Linked DNA regions of Neodiprion lecontei. The protein of the gene in region 3 interacts with the protein of the main gene of each other region in a pairwise test. Links are inferred from orthologs where the notes say so. Each region holds a gene or a part of one and is shown on either strand. Other genes may lie near its edges. The genes, in order: zinc finger protein 260, transcription initiation factor IIA subunit 1 and deformed epidermal autoregulatory factor 1.

Evidence for each region.
Region 1: the proteins of deformed epidermal autoregulatory factor 1 (region 3) and zinc finger protein 260 interact in a two-hybrid assay, tested with the Drosophila melanogaster proteins (2 studies listed by BioGRID). The link is inferred for Neodiprion lecontei from reciprocal best matches to the Drosophila melanogaster genes Deaf1 and Clamp.
Region 2: the proteins of deformed epidermal autoregulatory factor 1 (region 3) and transcription initiation factor IIA subunit 1 interact in a two-hybrid assay, tested with the Drosophila melanogaster proteins (2 studies listed by BioGRID). The link is inferred for Neodiprion lecontei from reciprocal best matches to the Drosophila melanogaster genes Deaf1 and TfIIA-L.

What each region holds. Positions count from the first base shown.
Region 1 is NC_060266.1:16,752,259-16,757,182, reverse strand, and holds the start of zinc finger protein 260, read right to left. Parts: upstream 3,017-4,924; 5' UTR 2,258-3,016; intron 1-2,257. UniProt on the Drosophila melanogaster protein: Transcription factor involved in X-chromosome dosage compensation in males, the process by which transcription of the single X chromosome in the male is elevated. Binds to the DNA sequence (GA)n.
Region 2 is NC_060263.1:28,727,786-28,735,760, forward strand, and holds transcription initiation factor IIA subunit 1, read right to left. Parts: upstream 6,121-7,975; 5' UTR 5,912-6,120; coding exon 5,795-5,911; intron 5,417-5,794; coding exon 5,206-5,416; intron 4,734-5,205; coding exon 4,377-4,733; intron 3,915-4,376; coding exon 3,709-3,914; intron 3,042-3,708; coding exon 2,898-3,041; intron 2,723-2,897; coding exon 2,633-2,722; intron 2,540-2,632; coding exon 2,432-2,539; 3' UTR 255-2,431; downstream 1-254. Other genes in the region: protein unc-79 homolog, read left to right, coding at 7,690-7,711, 7,889-7,975. UniProt on the Drosophila melanogaster protein: TFIIA is a component of the transcription machinery of RNA polymerase II and plays an important role in transcriptional activation. TFIIA in a complex with TBP mediates transcriptional activity.
Region 3 is NC_060261.1:38,356,162-38,363,818, forward strand, and holds the start of deformed epidermal autoregulatory factor 1, read right to left. Parts: upstream 6,052-7,657; 5' UTR 5,932-6,051; intron 4,595-5,931; 5' UTR 4,339-4,594; coding exon 4,090-4,338; intron 2,789-4,089; coding exon 2,297-2,788; intron 2,196-2,296; coding exon 1,734-2,195; intron 1,651-1,733; coding exon 1,450-1,650; 3' UTR 1-1,449. UniProt on the Drosophila melanogaster protein: Transcription factor that binds the homeotic Deformed (Dfd) response element. High affinity binding sites contain at least 1 TTCG motif surrounded by additional TCG sequences.

The DNA.
Region 1 (4,924 bases), on a different chromosome or scaffold from region 3:
TTTCACGTGAAAAAAAAAGGTGCTGCACGGTTTCCACGATGACGGCCGCAATTTTGATCTGAAAAAAAAATTTCAAAAAGATTATTGATCTGTAGGAAAGTCGCTATCGCGCTATGGAGGGTTTTTTTTTTTTTCAAATTTGACAAAATGGCAGCGGTTTAAACAAAAAGTGTCGAATGTGGCCCTTTTTTTCGACAGTTTTTCGTAAAAAAAATAGGAAGTTTTCAAAAAAAAAAAAAAAGCTTCCATAGCGCGATAAAGAATGACGTTTAAAATGTTCTCCCGAAATTGGAACTAGATATCTTTAAAACTCTTCCTTTGAGAGTGAAAACCGTTTTGAAAAACACCATTCTGAGAAAAACGCGTTTAGAGATTGAAGTTGGAAAAGTTTATATAAATCGTTTACTTACGATCAATCAGCGATGCCAGGTCTTGATTTTTTTCTTGGGGGTTTCTCTCGTACGTCTATCCGTGGTGGATGTCAAAACGAACTGAAATGCTTGGACAGTTTATTCTGCAAGGTTATAGAACCTAAGCACCTTAGTACTCGCGCAGGTAGAAAACCCGTTCCCTTTCTACAAGAAACGCTGTAGCGACCGTAATAATTTGAATTTCGATTTAAAAATTTGAGAGAATGTTTAGAACAGTGTATACTATACGATAATGCAAAAAAAAAAAAAAACAATTTTTTGAAAATTTCACACTGAGACGATCCCTTAAAGCTACGCAATAAGAATTCAAATATCAAAGTAATTCTTCTTTCACATTTAGTCATTCTGCATGAGTAAATTATGAGAACTTTGGGTAAAATCAAACATAAGTATAATATTAACAGTGAGCCTTTACAACATAACTCCTCAAATGTGGAACTCGTTGAGCAGTGTTTGTTTTACTAATGAAAGGCCATGGCTTACAATTAAATGGGATTCAGACTCTGCTGCAAAATGTGCTTGCAACTATGAAGAATCACTATGTTTTGGTTCAATAAATTCCAGTGATCTCCATAATCAGATTAAAGGATGGCAGTAAAATGAATTCAATTTGAGACTGGTCTCTCGAAACGAAACAAAATTTCATTTTATGTATAGAATAATTGAATTATTTGTAAATGAATTTATACAAAAATTTCACGTTATGATATTCAAAGTTTAATACCTGTTATTGAATGATAAATATCAATACTTAACATAGAATGATAATGGATACATTATTAAAACAAGTTTTACGAATAGATCATTTCTGGCTTCTTTGCAGTCTGAAAATAAGAGGGTCCAAAAAGGATTTGTTACGGAACATGATCCGATTTCTGAATGCCGAAGTTGTATACCATGAGTTTTCGTGGATGCGTACCAGGGGACCCCTAATTACAAGCCATTCAAGATACGAGTCCACTCTGTGCAGCTCCGAGTTTCACATCAGCCACGCGCTAACGAATGGACTGCCGAGTTGCTCAGAGTAGACCTCATGGTGCACGTCCACGAAAATGCCAGGTATATACAATGTGAGTAATTGACAGTGGAATAATCCAACACGCATGTGCTAAAATTTTAGAGCAAAAGCAGTTTTGTCAAGTTGACCAACCGTCATAAGTTCAGATGACAGGTCGCCACGGTATATGTGTTGATAACAATGTTTATACTTTCAACTAGACGTAGGAACAAAAAAAAAAATTTGCGATGCGCGTATGTATTCCATAGATAACGATGCTGAATTGAACTGTAAAAGTTATGGTCTTGTGAAGTGGATGAGTTTAAAAAAAAAAATTTTTTTCCAATTCCGTGATATGTTGGAAGTATGAGCATTGTTCTCAAGCATCAAATTGATCTTATTAGTCCATCTTATTCAATGAATAAAATAATAATAATTTCAAAACATCGAAAACTTCAATGTATTTTACATTTAAAATTTCAATCGCTCATGTGTTAATATTACCTTATATTAAAAACTTTTATATTGATACAAGATTTTTGTCGGTAAAATGAACAATTTTTTGGGGTAATCGAAAAAATTCTAAAATGACCAAAATAATGGACACTCTAATCTACAAATATATATATAACTGAGTGTGTGTGTGTATGTATATATATTACATATATATACATATATGGTAGTGTAGTCATCGTAGTTGAATAAGAAAAAGTCGGATAGGATATTTGATGAGAAAACTCACTCAAATACCGAAGGAATTGAAAAGTAAAAGAAGTTTTCAACCCGAACAGAAATAATGTAAAATGCAAAATTTCTAATAAATACTCACTTGTATAGTTTATGCATCTACTCCGTTATTCTCGATGATTTTTTGAGTCTGTATCCATAATCTGCATTCCGGTAGACTCGTTATCACATTAAAAATAAAAAATTAGCAAATATACACCTGCTGGGCCGTTAACAAAAGGCTACACAGGCCAACGGCCAACGAGCATCAAGGTGGGCAGCATCCCAAATTCCCAGGCATGGGTTGACCATGAAGTCGATTAAAAAATCTCCTCAAACACTTATCTTTGCCAGTGGATTATTTTCCGGCCGACAGTTCGGAACGTTACATGCGAAAAATACAGTACCGGTGATCGTTTGTAACCCCTCGGCTAGGGCGCTGGAGCCAGGCACTTGTCAGAGAATGTTTGAGTCCGGTAGACGTCTCTGATACCAAGCGAGCATTGGCCTTGCGTTTCACAGCATTATGACTGCATATTATTTGGAATTAAACTATCTCGCACGCAGACTTTCAACTACAAACCCTAACCCTTATTATCTCTTCAAAAATTGCAGGTTTTATTGATTTATCGCGCGGATTCGTTGACGCGTACTAAACGGAACCACGGAAGAGCGTCAACAAACTCTCTGGCGGCCATTACGTTCGACAAGGATAACAATGGGCGGCCGGGCACGCGATTCTCGACCCCTTCACTCAGCCGCAGTGCCGCCAGGTGTTACTTTAAAATGTCCCTAGTTATGCATTGAGATCTCCCTACAATGTCTCTACACTCATGATTATGAACACGATGTGAGAAGAACAGTGAAAAAGCAGCCTGTGCTTGCCACTGAAATATAGTAATACTGGAACGCACACCGTGTACAAAAGCACGTCACCAGTCTATCCCCACTGTCACGCACATCTCCACGCAAAGGTTGAACAGAGATAAAAATACGCTTCCCATTAGTGAAAGAGAGTTAGAGTTCCCCCTACTCCATCTCTTTCGGTGCCAATCAAAAACGAGTATCCGAGAAAGGCAGAATCCTACCAATTTTCTAACTTTCTTGACGACGCTCTCTCGGGCAACGCTGCCTTACGGCGAGCGTTTCAGTATTAACATATTTCAGTAATGCTTTGCCCATACAACGCATTGTGATTTTTAGTTGAAGTCACGATCGCAATGCATATAGCTCTCGTAACTCTACTCAATTTTTGTAAGTAGGAAGAGCCCGTTAAGCTGGATTTTCACGCGCAGCAAACAGCTGAATGTAGCGTGCTCTGGTTGGTCAATTCACCAAAATCACCATTTTGTGACGTCTGATACTTGGCGATCTTGGTGAATTGACCAATTGGAGCACGCCGCATCTAACTATTTGCTGCACATGAAAATCCCATGTAAGGGTCCTATACTATGGGTGGGTATGTATGTACACTACACTGCGAAGATAATGACTTGTTGGATTGACACGTCAATTCTAAGGTTAGATTCGACAGGGATAACGATTTGTTGACGTGTCAATCCAACACGGTATTCTAAGGTTAGATTCGACTGCCATGGATTATGTTGTGTTTATTGAGATTGAGTTTGTTTCGCGCTTGGCCGACTATGGCGTTATAGGTTTCTCTGGGTTTCAAACATAACTGACTAGTGTCCAAAATTAGCCTTCTCAGATTCATTGTCCCCAAGTGTACGACCGTGGTTCGGACCATAGACTTATAAAGATAGACTGAGCGCTCCTATAAGAAGCACTGACAATTATATATAAAGGACAGAGATATACCGGGAGTACTGCTCTCTCTTTTCCATCGGCGTCATGGTGGGAGACAACGGAGCAGTGGGATTGGAACAGCTTTAGATACAGGCGCATAATTTCGTCTCATTCTCCTCTACCGCCTCGATCCCCGCCGCAAATATTCTCAGAGAGAGAATGGAGTACTGCCGGCATATTTCTGTCCTTTAAATGTTTGCTTCAAGCGGCTCATAAGAGCGCTCAGTCTATCTTTATGAGTCTATGAGTTCCGACATTAGCTCTCAGTGCTGGAAACAATATTCTACTCTCTTCCGCTGCCGGGTTAGAGAGTAGCTCGGCCTCTGTCCTAGGGAGTTTTCAGCGCTGCCAGCTAATTTCGAAACGCACCCTAAAGTATCCGTGTCACCCACGGTCTTACACACAGGTCTGGCAACGAAGGTAGTGGAGGTGGTTCATTTCACTGCCGATTATTTATCTCACTTTGTGGCCGCCAGGCCGGCATTGTGATTGAGGAATGGATAATCAACGCGTGCGTAATGCAGCGCCAACCTAATAATAAATTATTATTACTACAAGTAATGAATTGTTATGAATGAAAGTAGTTGATATAAATATTAGTATGATATAATTATTATGAATGATATATGTATGGAGACTAGAGGCAAAGAGTTTCATCTCTGTTTCCTATTTTCAGCCATCATTATTGAAATTTATGGTTTACTTATCAAGTTATGGAATACTTAACTCGCTTGCGTTTGAATTAATTCAAGCGGTGACCTATCCGAATAAACCACCAAGCTTGATTAAACCCCAAGCGGGGCTATAACTTAGATATTAGAAAAAAATGTAAACAAATTATCTACATCAATCTCGTTCATTTCAAGGAAAAAAAAAAAAATAAATTTCATGTGTATGTACGAATAATAAATATACGAAGGTAATAAATGAAATAAACGTATATTGTTTAAAGAAACGGTGT
Region 2 (7,975 bases), on a different chromosome or scaffold from region 3:
GCTATAAATCGGAGCAAAACAGATTAGTTAAGCATATACAACTAATGTAGTAATACTTCTATGATAAATGTTCACTGTGAGTAAACGATTTTATTCTATTCTAAATGATTACTTTAGAAATAGTTGCTGGTAATCTGATATGGTACCGTGATATCTGCCAGTATAGGTTCATCATTTGCAAAACAATATTATAGACTTCTATTTTCAAACTTCAGTTTGACGTTGAGTTCAAATAGATTTTTCGTGGGTAACTGATACGTTTGTGGTAGCAAAAATGAAAATATTTAGTTTAGAAGATGATTTGATTCAAATAAAATCGATTCATGGGTATAAAATTTTACGATTGACAAATATAATCTACAGTAATAGACCCTCTTTATTTAAAATACTTTTACAAATGTAGGTATACATGTATGCAGCATAAGACACTTTTATTCTTCTAAGAATTTTCAAATACACTATACGTACACACAACACTATTCAACTGATTTATATACATATGTATCAATGAAAAGTATTGAAACCGCAGTTGTTAAGCAGTGATAATTTGCATTCAATTATGGATTCTTTTTTTTACTAATGAATTGAGCATTTGAAAATCTACAGTATATAAATCATTCGTTTCATGAACTTACAGAATTTTCATTCTAAGTTGTTTGCTTCTTCAGATGAAGTAAAATACTCAACCATTGATGGTTTTCAAATATACCTATTAAATCTTCATTCTATACCTATTTCACATGTAACTTTAAAATATTTTTCCAACTAGTTTTGGATTATGCTCGATTCTTTATTCGAAATGAATTGCAAAAACGTTTTTATTACAATACAGTTGAAGAATTATATAAGAATTACATAGTTGAATAAATTCAAGTATAGATTCTTGTGCACTCGACTACTTAAGTCCCAGCATCAGTTTCTTTAATTTAATTTATACATAAGTCTGACCCATTTTATGAATCTAATGAAATATGAACTAATTTATGAACTCGGGAATAATTTACTATTATACTTCGTTTCGATAATCACTTTTCCACAACATTTGACAATATATTTACATCCCAGGTAATTATAACAAAAATTATGAGCATATCATTTGCTTAATAGTCTGTTTCACATTTAAATTCAACTCCCACACGCCACTTTACCCATAGGCACTTTACTTCAAATAATCCATGATTTAATAATATTCACGAGAATCAACAAAATTTGTAAGTGAGCGTACACTCAAACTCCTTAACCATTTTGCAATTTCATTTGTAAATCAACCAGATATTTAGATTAGAGCACAGTCTTTGTGAAAGTATACAGTATAATCAAAAATTAAAACTTAATCTCCTAATTACTAACCTGTATTTTGTCTTAAAATTTACAACTACACTGGTGATTCACTTTCAAAATTATTATTCCCAAAGCATATTAACCTTTTCAGGACGGGAATTTTTACGTTGAAATCGACCTTTTATTTTACACGAAATTTGTGTATAATATCAATGAATTTCTCACGTGGAGTATCCGACCAACCCAGTGGTCGAAATTTCGACCAGTCCCGTCCTTAAAAGGTTAAACTGGCCCATCGTTTAGTAGACCATTTAAGCATGTATTATTTAGTATCCGTGTTCCAAGTGAAATAGGCATAATAATTCTTCATTCTATGTTATATTAGATTTACGCAGAGAATAAATTCAGAAAATTATTTATAAATCGCAATTTTGGAATTACATAAAATCTATCTTATGATAAGATTTACAAATGCGTACAAAAGTAAAAACAAGTCTATTCCAGTCGCAATATTATTGAAATTTGGCAGTTCCTCTTGTAAGTGAGTAAGGGTCAAGAATTATAAATTCAAAACGGAATTAATCGGTATCAGATGAATAAAAATCATGTTACAACTATCACTTCTATCTTGCAATGCAGTTCCATGCGATTTATAAAATTAGAGTATACTTTATTACCGTTTCCAAGTCTACTTATATATACCACAACAAAACATCCCTGAGTAAGTTAACTGAATTCCCTTATATTATATTCTGTCAAAACCAGTGCAGTGATATTTGCGAAAGATTTTATTTACAAAAATTAAAAGCAAGAATTTAGATAATACCTAACAGTACGGATTTAGATATAGGTATATATATATATATATTATTTTTATAATCAAAAAATACAAGAGTTTGAATTTTGTCCACAAGACCGTAAAACATCCAATTGCTTAATAACAAATTTTATATTACCTGATATTACATGTATCATTTTAAATGAGTAATGGTAATTGGTTTATAATGCTTATTAATACTATTATGATTTTGAAGTAACTGTGAATGATTAATTCATAACAATGTGATTCACAGGACTGCACAAAAGATATAAGAGACGAGGAAAGAAGAATAGGTTTTTTATTGTTAAAAGAAAAGTAGCAGTGGGCCCCTTACCATTCTGCATCCCCATTAGCTTTTTGGAAAACATAGTCTTTCCCACTTAGATTCATTATGCCGTCTTTTAAATAGAATTTCCACTTATTTCTGCTCCTTGTGATCTAAAATGCAGTAAAATTCCAAATATATTAATTATTACTGTCCAAATAGTAGGCACAAACGAAATGGTCAAGTATAACAACCAAAGTACCAACCTTATCGTACTGACAGACAACTACATTATCCGTATCAAACAAATCTGTTGGATCATCATCAGTAACATCATCTTCAGAATTCAGTGGTTCCTGAAATAATGCGCACACATGAACGTCAATAATTCCGAATACTAAATAAAGATATAATCTCTAGTACAAAACACTTAAACGTAAAGCAGAACGTATATGAAACATTCTAGAAATATCATATGCATTATCCAAATAGGAAGATAATTACACGACGTTAAATCTGAAAAAATATTACCTCCTCACGTGCAGCAGCGTCATCATTTTCTTCTTCTTCTCTATCATCAAGATCTTCATCATCATCATCATTATCTTCTTCTTCCTCATCATCGTCTTCATCAGACGTATCAACCACAGGCCCATCCAATTGAGCTATGTTACCCTGTCATCAATGGAATAGGAATGTAAGAAATATACAGGGTGACCTACGACTATCACTCCACAAGCTATCAATGTGAAAGTCTGCGACTGAAACGTTTTTATTTCTAATAGGAAACTTGTTGTTCGCGAATTACGTTTGAAATTAGCCAGTCCGGTAGTATTTGATCGCTTAGGACAGCTGTGGAGCACATGGCTATCCACCAGCCCTGATCTAAACCATCAGATGATACCGGTTTGGCCATTTTCAAACAACTGTAAATCGCAAACGACAATCTGTCAGTGAGAAATAACAAACGTTTCAGTCGTAGATTTTCACGAGGAATACATAGTGAGCTTATGGGGTGATAGTGCTACGTCACCCTGTATTTAGTAGCTATGATTACGCGGGAAAGACCAACTTCAAGTATGCTGTCATTGTCATTGATTCCTAAAATTTGTGAAAAACAAGTTTTATGTAAAGTCAATTATCTATTGCATAACCTTTGAAGTACTGACGAAGTAAAGTGATGACGAATCAAGAATCGGAATATATTTAACTTTTGAGCCTACTGACGGAAAAGGCATTAATTGTGAAAGAGACGAAATATTCAACGTATACAATATTTATTCTAGAACAACTCAAAACAAATTAAAAGAAATTTAACCATTCCGTAAACATATACTCGTACCTGACTTTGGGCAGTTCGCTGTGTCGTTACACTGTTTGTATTCTGTGTTACAACAGTTGGTTGGGCTAGTTGAATAGGCGCAAGCGTAGGTTGTCCTTGAAGCGTAGCATTTACATGTTGTTGCAACAATGTTGATGCCAGGTTCGCAGGGAGTCCCATTGCAGCAGTAATTACAGGACCAGTTAAAATAGTATGTAATTGGTTACCTGTAACAAAAATGTCTGTGACTACCAAAGCTTTTTATCTTGCACAAAAACAGATATCCAAATATTTTGGCAATTTTTATTCGCATTACAATTGCAATAACAAGATCAATAATACTTGAATCTATGTTTCAATGATTAGCAGAATTTTGCGAAAATATAGCTCCAAAAAAATGGGTCCTCGAAGACCCCACGTGCTCACTAGCGCTAAGAAACCTGACGTCCATAATGAAGAGTTAAAGTGCATAAATGTAGCTACTTGTACCATTAAGACATCAATTTCATCCATACGAACACTGTCAAAATAGGGCAAGATTTTCGAAATTTTAATTTTATTTTTTAAGTAGACTTTGCATTCTAGGAAATCATTTAAATGTGCTTTGGACAGTAAAAATATTTTTCAGCAAGCTATTTCGTAATCCGGTAACTTATGGGTTAAAACTGTAGTAGGATATGTTATTTTACCTTGAATCGCTGAGGCTGGGACTTGTATTGTGAGAACTCGGGGCTGAGCATCGGGCTGACCAGCTTGTGCAGGAAGAGTGATTTGAATTGGGACTTGTCTGTCCAAAACTGCAGCAGGAGCAGTAACTACCTGCTGCGCAATACCACTTGATTGTTGTTGCACAGGATGGCCCGCTTGCTGTGCATGTTGCTGCTGTTGTTGCTGTTGTTGTTGTTGCTGTTGTTGCTGCTGTTGTTGCTGTTGTTGTTGTTGTTGTTGTTGTTGTTGTTGTTGTTGTTGTTGTTGCTGCTGCTGCTGTTGCTGTACTGCAGCTGCAGTTGACGGTTGTTGCACAAAATGATTTCCAGCAATTCCAGCTGTAAAAATGAGAGCCAACATTAAATATCAATGTTTACTGATTTCAATACAATCTGAAAAATACGTACTAAATTTTGTACATATAGAATAATTAAATAGCAAACATCAAGAAAATATTGATCAGTCACGTCTAGACATTACTATCATATGTAATATACGTGCGGATTTCGCCAGATGTGGATTCTTTTTTTCTGTATAAAACTATTCACTTTAGAGGTTCAAAGTGTATTTTGATTCTGCGAGTATGTACATGTGATTGTGATAATTGAAAAAATTTGAGCGCATGGAGTCTTAAAAAAACACAACTTGCAATAAAATTCAAAATCTCTTGTACGGAGTAGAATACAGCTTGAATAGCATGCAAAGTGCGGTAAAATTTTTTCACATATAAAGCTGTATCCTGTTTTGGAATACTTCAAAAAGTGAGCAATAACATATGACTACAGCCATCAAATATTACAAAATTGTTACCTTTATTTGTTGCCGCTGTCTTGTGGGTGGTAAGCTGAGGAGGCTGGGGCTCTGGTGGATCTGGGTTCACCTCGAACGTTTTACTGGACATTAATTTTGTCTCCCATATTTGTTTCAACTCCTGTAATACTTGCTCATCTACACCCTCATCTAAAAATGATTCACGCACGCCAGCTATGACATCTTCGATGACTGTGTTGTATAACTTCAACTGAAACCAAAATACCATTTTACTCACTTTTGTGCTGTGTAAAAATATTACTGAAGTAACGTCCACCTTATGTCGTATTAGATGGCCGTTGACAAAAAAGTGGATGAATCTGCATATTTCTTTTTAACTTCTAGGTAAAATGTCACAGTTGTAAAATGTGTTTTTCTTGCTTCTTTCTGAAGTATAAGCATTGCTGAATTATGTTTTTAGAAAAACACTTCTCTAGCTAGCTAGAAAGGTTTTATATGTGAGGCGAAAATAGCATACGAGTTGGAATTGCAATACTTTGTTGCCTCTTAAAGAATTCTATTCAATTAAAAAAGAAATAAAATCATCATCAAAATAATATCGACGGGTATTTAATATTTTGTTACTTACGTTAAGTATGACAACAATATTATTTTCTCTTGTAATTGTGTAATCAATGAACATTTCGTTGAACATGTCGTGTAACACGTTACGCATACGTGTCGAGGGCGATAAAGATATCCTCATGTTTTGAAGGTGAAAATAACGATAAACGTTTATTATAAATATTTTTATTTAACGATGTTTCGAGCGACTTCATTTTTCAAGTAACGAGTCAAATGTTACTTCAAAACAGAGTACAACAGTCACAAAGGCATTAAGATAGCGAAGATTACACTATTGACAGATCGTCCAAGGCCTTCAGCAAGTTAATATTACCGAAAGCAAGACGTAAATACATACATACGGCTCGTTAAGCACGATGCTTTGTTTCCTGTATTTTTCATTAGCATATTATTTTCGTGGTTTTTCTTTATTACTCACCACGCTAGTTTGACTCAGGGCCATTATGGGATAATTCGTATTATCAATCAATAGAACAACAATACGAATAATCCTAAATCAATGCCCGCTTCTGAGAAGCCGACCTGCCGCGTTGCTCGAGCTCTTTTATACTTTCTCAACAGCTCCCATTCCACCCTATGGCTCAACTACGTCGATCAACATAACTACTCTCGTGATTTTAGCCTTATGTACAGCTTACTGTGATATGAAGGAATATAACCTAAAAAATTGCAATGATAGTTTTTACTACGGTAAAACTAATCGATTTACGCATAACGTAATTTTTTGAGCCTAGTTTACGGTTCGACAAGGTGAAAGTTATAATGGAAGTGACTACGTTCAATAGTTATCATAGGAGTTCCTGAATACGTCAAAATGAAGCAGCCATTCTGCTTTATACTGGACGTATTCCGAAATGTGTGCTAGCGGTGCTAGCACGTCCGACATTTCGAGACGTAATGAAATGAGTTGGGCTCGGAATTGCCTCAGGTATCAGTGTCGAAATTGTGGAGATTTCTTGACCTGGTAACGTCGGACTTCAACCTGTTTACCCTTCTTACATCGTGAATCGGACACAAAATGTATGTCCGTTCCGCAATGACAGATCGCGGATATTCATTCTTGTTACGGAACGACCATTCCGAAATGTCCACGTGCTACTTGCTAGCAAGATGCTAGCACACATACTGGAATACATCCACTGCATAAGCGATTTATTGGACAAAACAGTGGACAAATTATACTCCAGTTCTATGCCGATTGCCGAAATTTGGATCGTCAGATAGAAATTGTTGCGAGCAGGGAATCCCCGGGGTTATAAGAATAAGCAGTGTAATACACGCTTTAATAATTTATTCAGACGATAAAACGAGAGGCAATGACTTCGGATGCCGGTTGGGTTCAGAATCAAAAGTTTTTCATCGGAATAATTACCGCCCCACATTCTGATTTGCTCAAACATTTCCATAATATACTTTGGATGTAACGCAGGTTTCTCTCTGGTAACGCATGGTATTGTACCTAGTTGGCTGTAGGCAGCAGATTATTCTTGAACCGTGGTTCGTTGGAGTTACGATGACCATCGGAGTTTGGCGCGTGCGCTTAATTTTTCGTAGATCTGTCAACGTAACGTGTGAAACTCATGTGTATAAAACCGAGTGATTAACCCGAATATGACCGGATGAAATGACATAAGTGTTTTTTAAGCGTTTTATGTCATTTTTACGCAAATGCGGTAGTGCCGTACAATGCTTTAACCGAAGGTACAACTAATATAGTGTAGCGAATCAGCTGTTGTCCGGTCGAGATGAGCGCGGAACATCGCTTTCAGATTAAAGAGTATCTGAGTTCGGAGGATCAATACGTCGGATACTCGGGTCCATGCGATGCGTTGTTCAAGAATGATGTATATTAAGAAGCGATATTAATCTTACCGAAAGCAATTTTGTTACAACTCTAAAATGGGGACGAAATTTGCTGCATGTGCGTATAATCGTTCTATGTTATATCGAATTTTCCAAGTATTTCATGATCATGTTCATTCTTGCAATTAATAGTTTCAACAGATTCATTTAAACGTACAACGTAAACACAAAACCAATTTAAGGTACAAATATCCTTACACATGAACTGTACTGTAATTTTAGTGCTATTTTACAGACACACTAAAGCTCTCGAGTCTTCACGATTACCATCAAAGACTCCTACACGCGATTCAGCCAACTCCCTCAGGATTCGACATGACTA
Region 3 (7,657 bases):
ATGTACCGATAGTAACATTCATCGACATTACTATATGTCGATGGTAACACTGCACATTTAATCAACTATGATGATTCGTTTCCATAATCAACCTCTGCGAGTATACAACTATTAGAACCAACTAGCGTATTCCAGGAGGGCAGTATTCTCCATAATTCTTCATAAATAACAATACCTACAACTTGCGAATAAAGTTAGAAAGTGGTGAAAAATTTCAACGCATATTATAATCCTTATACCGATTAAAACTATCAAACGAAAAAATGCTCATCTCAGGATTCGAAGCCCGATCACATCAAATATAAGTTATAAGTTATTTTATATAAACGCTGTAATCACTTGGTTTTACGTATAGATAATTACTTTTTTTGATGATCAATATTACCAACTTTTCATGATTTTCATATATGGTTATAATAATGAAATGTATTAATAGCACTATATCTGGTATTTTTGTGAGATGATTATTATATTAGATAGATGATTGCTACTCACTCATTTCTATAAGAAACATCAATGATGGTGATTAAATGACATTTGATGAAAAATGGTAGACCATGCATGCAATTCGTGGTTGCAGAATAATTTAATGCATCCTTGAAATTGAAAATAAATTAAAGCTCATAGAGATGAGCTCATATATTATAATTATCTCAATGATTACAAATAATCAGGACTTTAAATTTCAGGTATGTATTGGCTTTTGTAAAATGTTCAACTTTATCTTATTAGAATATTGTAATAATATAGATTTACCTGAATGGTTCGGCAGAGAAATATTGCATGGAACTCACACCTTCACACGTTTCTTTGAACATTTATATCACAAGTATGTGAAATTAGGTGTACAACCTTAAGTTGGTGAAGTCCCTCAATTTTTTTGATGCTTCGTGTTTCACTAAAAAAAGTCCGTACAATATGATGCTAACAGTAAATATGTTTATACAAGAGAATAAAAATTAGTATCTATATCTTACAACATTTTGCGTCCGACCAAAATTCACTGCTTCATTTCTTTACACTATTTCACAATCTTTATTCCTACCACATCATTGTTAGATTGGGTGTGTAGAAAATATCTAAAAGCTAACATTTGGTATGAATTCGTTCGCAGAAAAACAAGTTGCACTCCAAGTTGTCTTTGATTGGCAAAATATTCTCGATCTCAATTTTCAAAATTCCAAGTATTCAAGAATGTTGACATCAGTATTCTATGCTATTCTATTTATAACACCAATGTAACACGCTAATACCTGGATCATTTCATTACTTTGCTCATTATTGTTATTATTTTCCTTCGAAAACATAATTATTCTATTCTCTATCTTTCTTGTCCATCTCGGACTTGGCAACTTTAATATCTGTTTCTAATTCTTCTGTTGGCGAATTTTCCATATCCAATTCTTCACTCCCAGGATTCTTTTGATGAATCGGAGTGAGGAACACTAGCTATTGGTCCCCGGCTGATGTTGAAAGTGCATTCGCATCCCCGCTACTACTCTCAACTATCAGCATAACTGTCTCTGCAGCGCCTCTTACACATTCTACCTGATGACCAGCCCAATCTTTTCGTTGGCAGAACGTAGAACAATAAGGCGTACGCCTACACAGCGAACACTCAGCGAAAGCTTCACGATTGCAGTTGGCACACTTGGGAAAACATGGGAAAATTCATAATGAGCCCGTGTCAAAGTGTAAATCGACAATCGAACTTTTGAAATAGTCAAACTTACTTTTTTGTTGTGTGTATCCGAAGTTGGCTGCAGACCAACTGTTTCAATTACTTCACCTCGGACATTGAGTTGCGCAGCAAGAGCTTGCTCTCGCTTCTGTTGCCTATTCAATTCTTTGGCTTCGGCAAGAGTTTGCCTAAATTCATAGGCTAGTTTCAACATCTTATTTGACATTTCGTCGAGCTTCTTAAAAATATCTTCGTTTTGTCCATTTTCAATTTGATGCACACTCTGCACAACTGTTTCCTGTTCTTGTGATTGTTGTACCACCAACCCATCTGCTGATACAAATTGAGACCAGCTTTCCTTATCGGGTACAACAACTTCAGTGTCACTGTCGTCATTGTTACTTCCGTCTCGAGAATTGTCACTTTTGTGTTTGCGATTTGGAGTCTCACCATCAGAGGTTTCTCGCGCTCTTCTCCTACGCTTGTAAGGAGTGAACAATCGCACTGGGCCAGTCTGCAGCACAGACGCCAAATCATGTCATCAGTTGTCAGTAGCAATAAAATCAATACAAAAGTGAATCACCAAATTCAAAAAATGAAAATAACGATACTTACAGCGCTATCGTCGTCACAGCAGGCTGCACAAGTACAGGATGTGGCATGTGGTTTCAATATCTGTTCATCTATCAAGGTCTGTAAACTCCTGCCCCCAAACCTTATGCTACGTTTCCAGTCTTTACTCGATGCTCTTCCACAAAGAGCTTCAAACTCACTAGGTGTGTACCAAGTATCTCCAAGTTTTATGCAACGTCCTCTTCCCCCTGACCCAAATCTACTTTTGTGCAGTTCTGCATTAGTGTTTTTACACCTAACTGGCAGTACAGCCATGTTCGCAGACTCTGACCAACTGCATATTGGCTGCGAGTTGGCTGTTGTGACATGGATTTGATCACTATCATTTTCATCTGTACTGTTCTGGATTACGATATGCGTCGCTTTCAACTCCCCGTTCCAGCGTAAAGGATCGCTATCCTTGTCATGACGAGGTTCACAGATAAATCCATTATCCACGCATAACATTTGCTTAAATTGACCCGAGCCCGGTAGCTGAAATGTAATTAATAGCACGTGACATTTGATCTTTGCTGGCTAACGCAAATCTTACTGATGCAAATTTTTTAATGTATACTAATTTGGTGGCAGATTAATATTCCTTGTCACACAATGTGATAATGTTCAAGTGCAGCATATGTAGACAATGGCGGCCAAAATATATTAAAAATAATTTGACACAGATATTGTGTAGATAATTAAAATATTTTTTCAGTCGTTTACTTTTAATAAGGTACCGTATTTGATATTCTCCAAATATTCTAAAGATCATAAGAACTTTGGGAATTGAATTGAGAGAGTGCTGACTTAGCAACTACGCGACAGGGTACCTGAAGTTTTCCACAGAATATCCCCAAATTGGTATTCTAATGAATATCAATGATTGCAATTACTCATATTCTGCAATAGAACTCAAATACATAACGTTGACATAGAGCATGCAGTAAAGGGATCTTGCATGACAACTACTATCACGTATTCAATAAGCTTTAGCAGTTTTCTTCATTATCTCAAAGTGCAATAACCTGCGAGACAAAAACTTTTATTGCTCAAATATGACCACTGTTGGTACCCTATCCGTAGCACGTTCGTTTTATTGCGGAATTGCGTCATAACCTTGTAAAATGAGTTCACAAAATGTTGATGGTTTGTTTTAGAAACTTCTGAATAAGATACATAACAAAATTATTGTTATACAAAAACAAAAAAACAAATGATGACTATTTTTTCCACTACAGTTACGATATTGGAAATCATCAAAACTGTGCACTCTTGTACATTAGCTCTTGTGATACATTATTTAGACAACCAAAGGCAAAGGCAGGTGTACAAGCATACAAAAGCCGATGGAACGTTCAACAGAATTGGAACATGGCTAGAGTGAGCGTACCGAGTAAGCGAAGGAATGTAAACAAATTTATGAAGTTGTTAAGAAAACCAATAAATTGGATCAATCTTGGAGCATGTAAACTCTCGGATAATAAATATTATGGTAAAAGCCTGGGCCTGTGTAAGCAAATACCGTCCGTGTAGGTTATAAATCGATAGCCCACATACAGACACCATGCAACTAGCTACCGGATAACGAATGGGGAAAAGATGATGCGATTATTCAAAGGGGTGAACATTTTGGGGTGATGATGGTCATATGCTCACAACTATACGAATTGACAAATGACATTGAAAAACACGTTGAACGCTGATAGGTGAGAAAATTCGATCAGACTTTTTTCGAGGCCTGGGGCGAAGCGATAAAACGTGAGAAATACGCGGAGCGTAATCGTCGAGCCAAGTACCTGCAGCTGGTCGGAGGTAATGACGTTGAAGGTGGTGCCATTGCTGGAATTAGCTACCCCGATGATCGAGCCAACGGGTAGCGAAACGGGAACGCCGACCCCTGGAACGGAGGAAACGTTGGCCGTGACAGCAACAGGATGGGCTTCGTGTTCGCCCGTTAGGGCAGCCGACTCCTCGGTTTCGCTCGTCAACGGTTCGGACATGTCCGGTAACACAGCGACACTTTCCGATGTTTGATTCTCCTCCATTTCGGCTGTCCTCGTCTTCAATGGCGCCAATACTTTCGTCCTCGCAGTTGACTATCGACTTCCCACGTGATTGTCTTTAACTTTTCCTCGAGACCCGCGGTAATCAAAATACGCCCTGCTCGTACCCAGATACAAATTTTCCGACCCGTTGCCCATGTAAAGCTATTTTAGTTTCCCCAAATACCGAATAGATGTCAGTCGCTGGACATCGACTAACGCGTTCGTAGTACCGAGCACGATGGGTAACTATACCGCTCTGAAACATGCACAGAGTTTCTTCAACGCCGGCATCGCGTTTCGCTAATTCATACTCTCCGACAATTATTATCACCGTTATTTTATCATCAATTGGTCAGTTGCCTGTTTGGACTTTGATTCAACCGCCACTTTGTGAATTGATCGGAATGCATCTCTCGTCTTTTCAGAATTTCAACCTCTTATTCATATTTACCGACGGAATTTCGTGCCCTAATTCCAAGTTAGCTTTAAGCGTGTGCAGTTTCATTTAGGGCAGACCGTACCGTTGTCGGTCAGACTTTTAAACTGCGACAATTTGTTGCTTTGACCGACGATACTTTGTTGTTTTGTTCTTGCTGTATTGAAAATTTTATCTCATAACTCGTATGCAGTACTTAATTTAGAGCAAGTGGAGTTTGAAAAAAATACCCACAGAAACTGTTTTATCGACCTTCCCAGGGACATCGGTTGGCTGTCGGTATAGCAGTTCAGTTACTGTCAGTAAGCTACCACTACAGTTGATTCATATTGCAGAGTTTGATTAACAGATGTCTTCGCACTGGACGTTTATTCACAAAATTAACGCAAAATTAAAAATATCATTGGATTTTCAAATAGAAGATACGAGGAAAAATACATCTATAAATTTCTAAATGCAGCAAGAATACTGCTTAAAAATTACAAACAAGAATTCAAGTTCCAAACCTTTAGGTTCTTTTTAGTTTTCCCGTTATTTAAAATGACCGTTTATCTTGTTTTTCTCTCTAAATTAGGTAAATATTGTTAAAAGTATGCAGCTTAGAGAACCATCATCCAGAAGAGTTCAGGAAGTATTATTCACAACATTTGAAAAAACAATTTATGCGAGAAACATTGCATGGCATCTGTGTACAAAATTGCGAATATGTATTGTGCAGTTGTATAAATTTTGGAGTGCAGCGTAATAACATTTTGCGCACAGATTAGAGTCAAGTTTATATAACGCTACGTATCACGACTCGCGCATGTATCACGTTTGGTCGTGAACTAGAACATTGCATAATTTTCGTAAAGTTTTCGTCGATTTATCGTTCATTGCGCGACAGAAAGCGGAATATTTCCACTTTCCGTAGATATAACATCACTTTCAAACATAAACAGTAGCCGTATGTGTATAATATACGTATATATCTCGTACGTATGTATACGTTTGCAAACCTTTCCTTGGTTAACAAAATCCATATTCATTGTTTAATTATAACGTGTTGTTCAGTTATTCCTAAAGTCTGTTGAAGTATGCAAACTCGTTTGAAAATTCTTCCGCAGTTGTGTTTCTAGCGGCATCAACTGATCGTCTGTACAGGTGAATAAACTTACCCGTACATGCCTTATACGTGCTTTGATAAATCTCTAAATGCACAAAGGTTGAGTCCCTCTTGTATTTTCCTCGGCCAGAGCGATGTTTATAAATCGTGTGAACGAACCCGACTGCACGACCCCTGCAGCAGAGCACCAGGATAATGATGTTATTTAGAAACTCTGAAAAGTAGGTAGCCGGTGAAGTAATGAATCGTAACATTTGTTCAGGCTTGAAAATAACAGTACCTGCTAATATATGTATGTATACGTATATATCTGTCTTCGCCGAACCGTCGAACTGCAGTATTTTCTCAAACAATCCCGGAACTACTCGACGAATTTTTAACCGACGTTGAGATCAGTTAAATACTTTGCTGCGAGCAAAGCGTACAATTTAAATCACAGCCAACGAAAATTTAGATAAATAACCTTTTCAAAGGCATAATAAAGATAAAATTGTTAAATTCGCGAACCGAATTTCTCATAGTCACACGACCGATTTTGCGATGAATTTTTCTATCAGTTATAATTGACGTGACCACTTCTCCACGAGAGTGTATACTTATTTTTCATCGTCACAAGCCACGAAAATTTTCTCAATAACTTCTCACATTTGGACTCGAGCCAGTAGAAAATTTCGTAGCGAGTTTATGTCGTTAAATAATGTAATGTAAAATTGTCAGTGTATGAAAGATGTAAAATAAAAGCTCGTTCACTTTTATTCATGAAAGAAGTAAAGCTTTAATTTATAAAAAGTAAAAAATTGGAGGAAAAATAGGAATCGCAAATATATACGGATACTTTTAAAATGACGTAGCGTTTTCGCAAGTGAGATGGGGGCGATACACCTTGAAATTGTTCTCTCATCCAGCGATCTCACTCTTGCTTTCTGCGCGGGCAAACTAATTAGTCGTTAACGAGTTTTCTATCAGGAAGTTCATTCTACTTTGAAACTTTCTCGGATCGCCAAACGTACAAACTGTTAGAAACTAACTGATACGAACGGCGCGTATACTATAAAAGTCTCAGAAAGCGTAAAGAACTTTTGTACAATTCTCTGAAAACGCAGCGTCTATTTAACATCAGGGATTAAAAAATTTCTATTAACAATTTTTAAGACTTTCTTACTACTTCTGTAATCACGAGAGAAAGAGAACAGAGATCATGCTAATCGTGCTCCAAGGCGTTCGAATTTACGCAAGGTAGAATTCGAGAATGTGGCCAGATTATAGGCGCGCATAAAAACGAGAGCTTCAAACGCTCCGGATCACTGAAGGGAAAAGTGGAGACAATGGAAAATAAAATTTTGACAAAATGACATTAAAGTCCCCTCTCATGCGTCAATATCCGAGCGATAGGAACGTAAACCAACCGTGGTCTGATACAACAAAGAGCATGGGTAACGTAATTACACCCGTCCAACGAAACTTCACCGCTAGCTACGTGTGTATAGTATATTCCAGTCGTGGACGTACATGCATACGTGTCACAGGTTCGCATGAGGCAATCCATCGCCACTCCACCAACATTAAAATCAGGTCATCTCGTATTCCTTCATCGTTTTATCGTAATCAGTTTTTTGAGTTAAAGTGTATTCAAAAACTTTTTAAGATTTTTCGAGCGAGAAAATTTTATAGCGCGTCGAAATTGCGAAAATAATATCTTACACCTAAGCAGCAACAATGTAAAAGGAAGGACATGTGTCAAATCTGTAATGGTTAGAGTCATGTGACGGGTATTTACA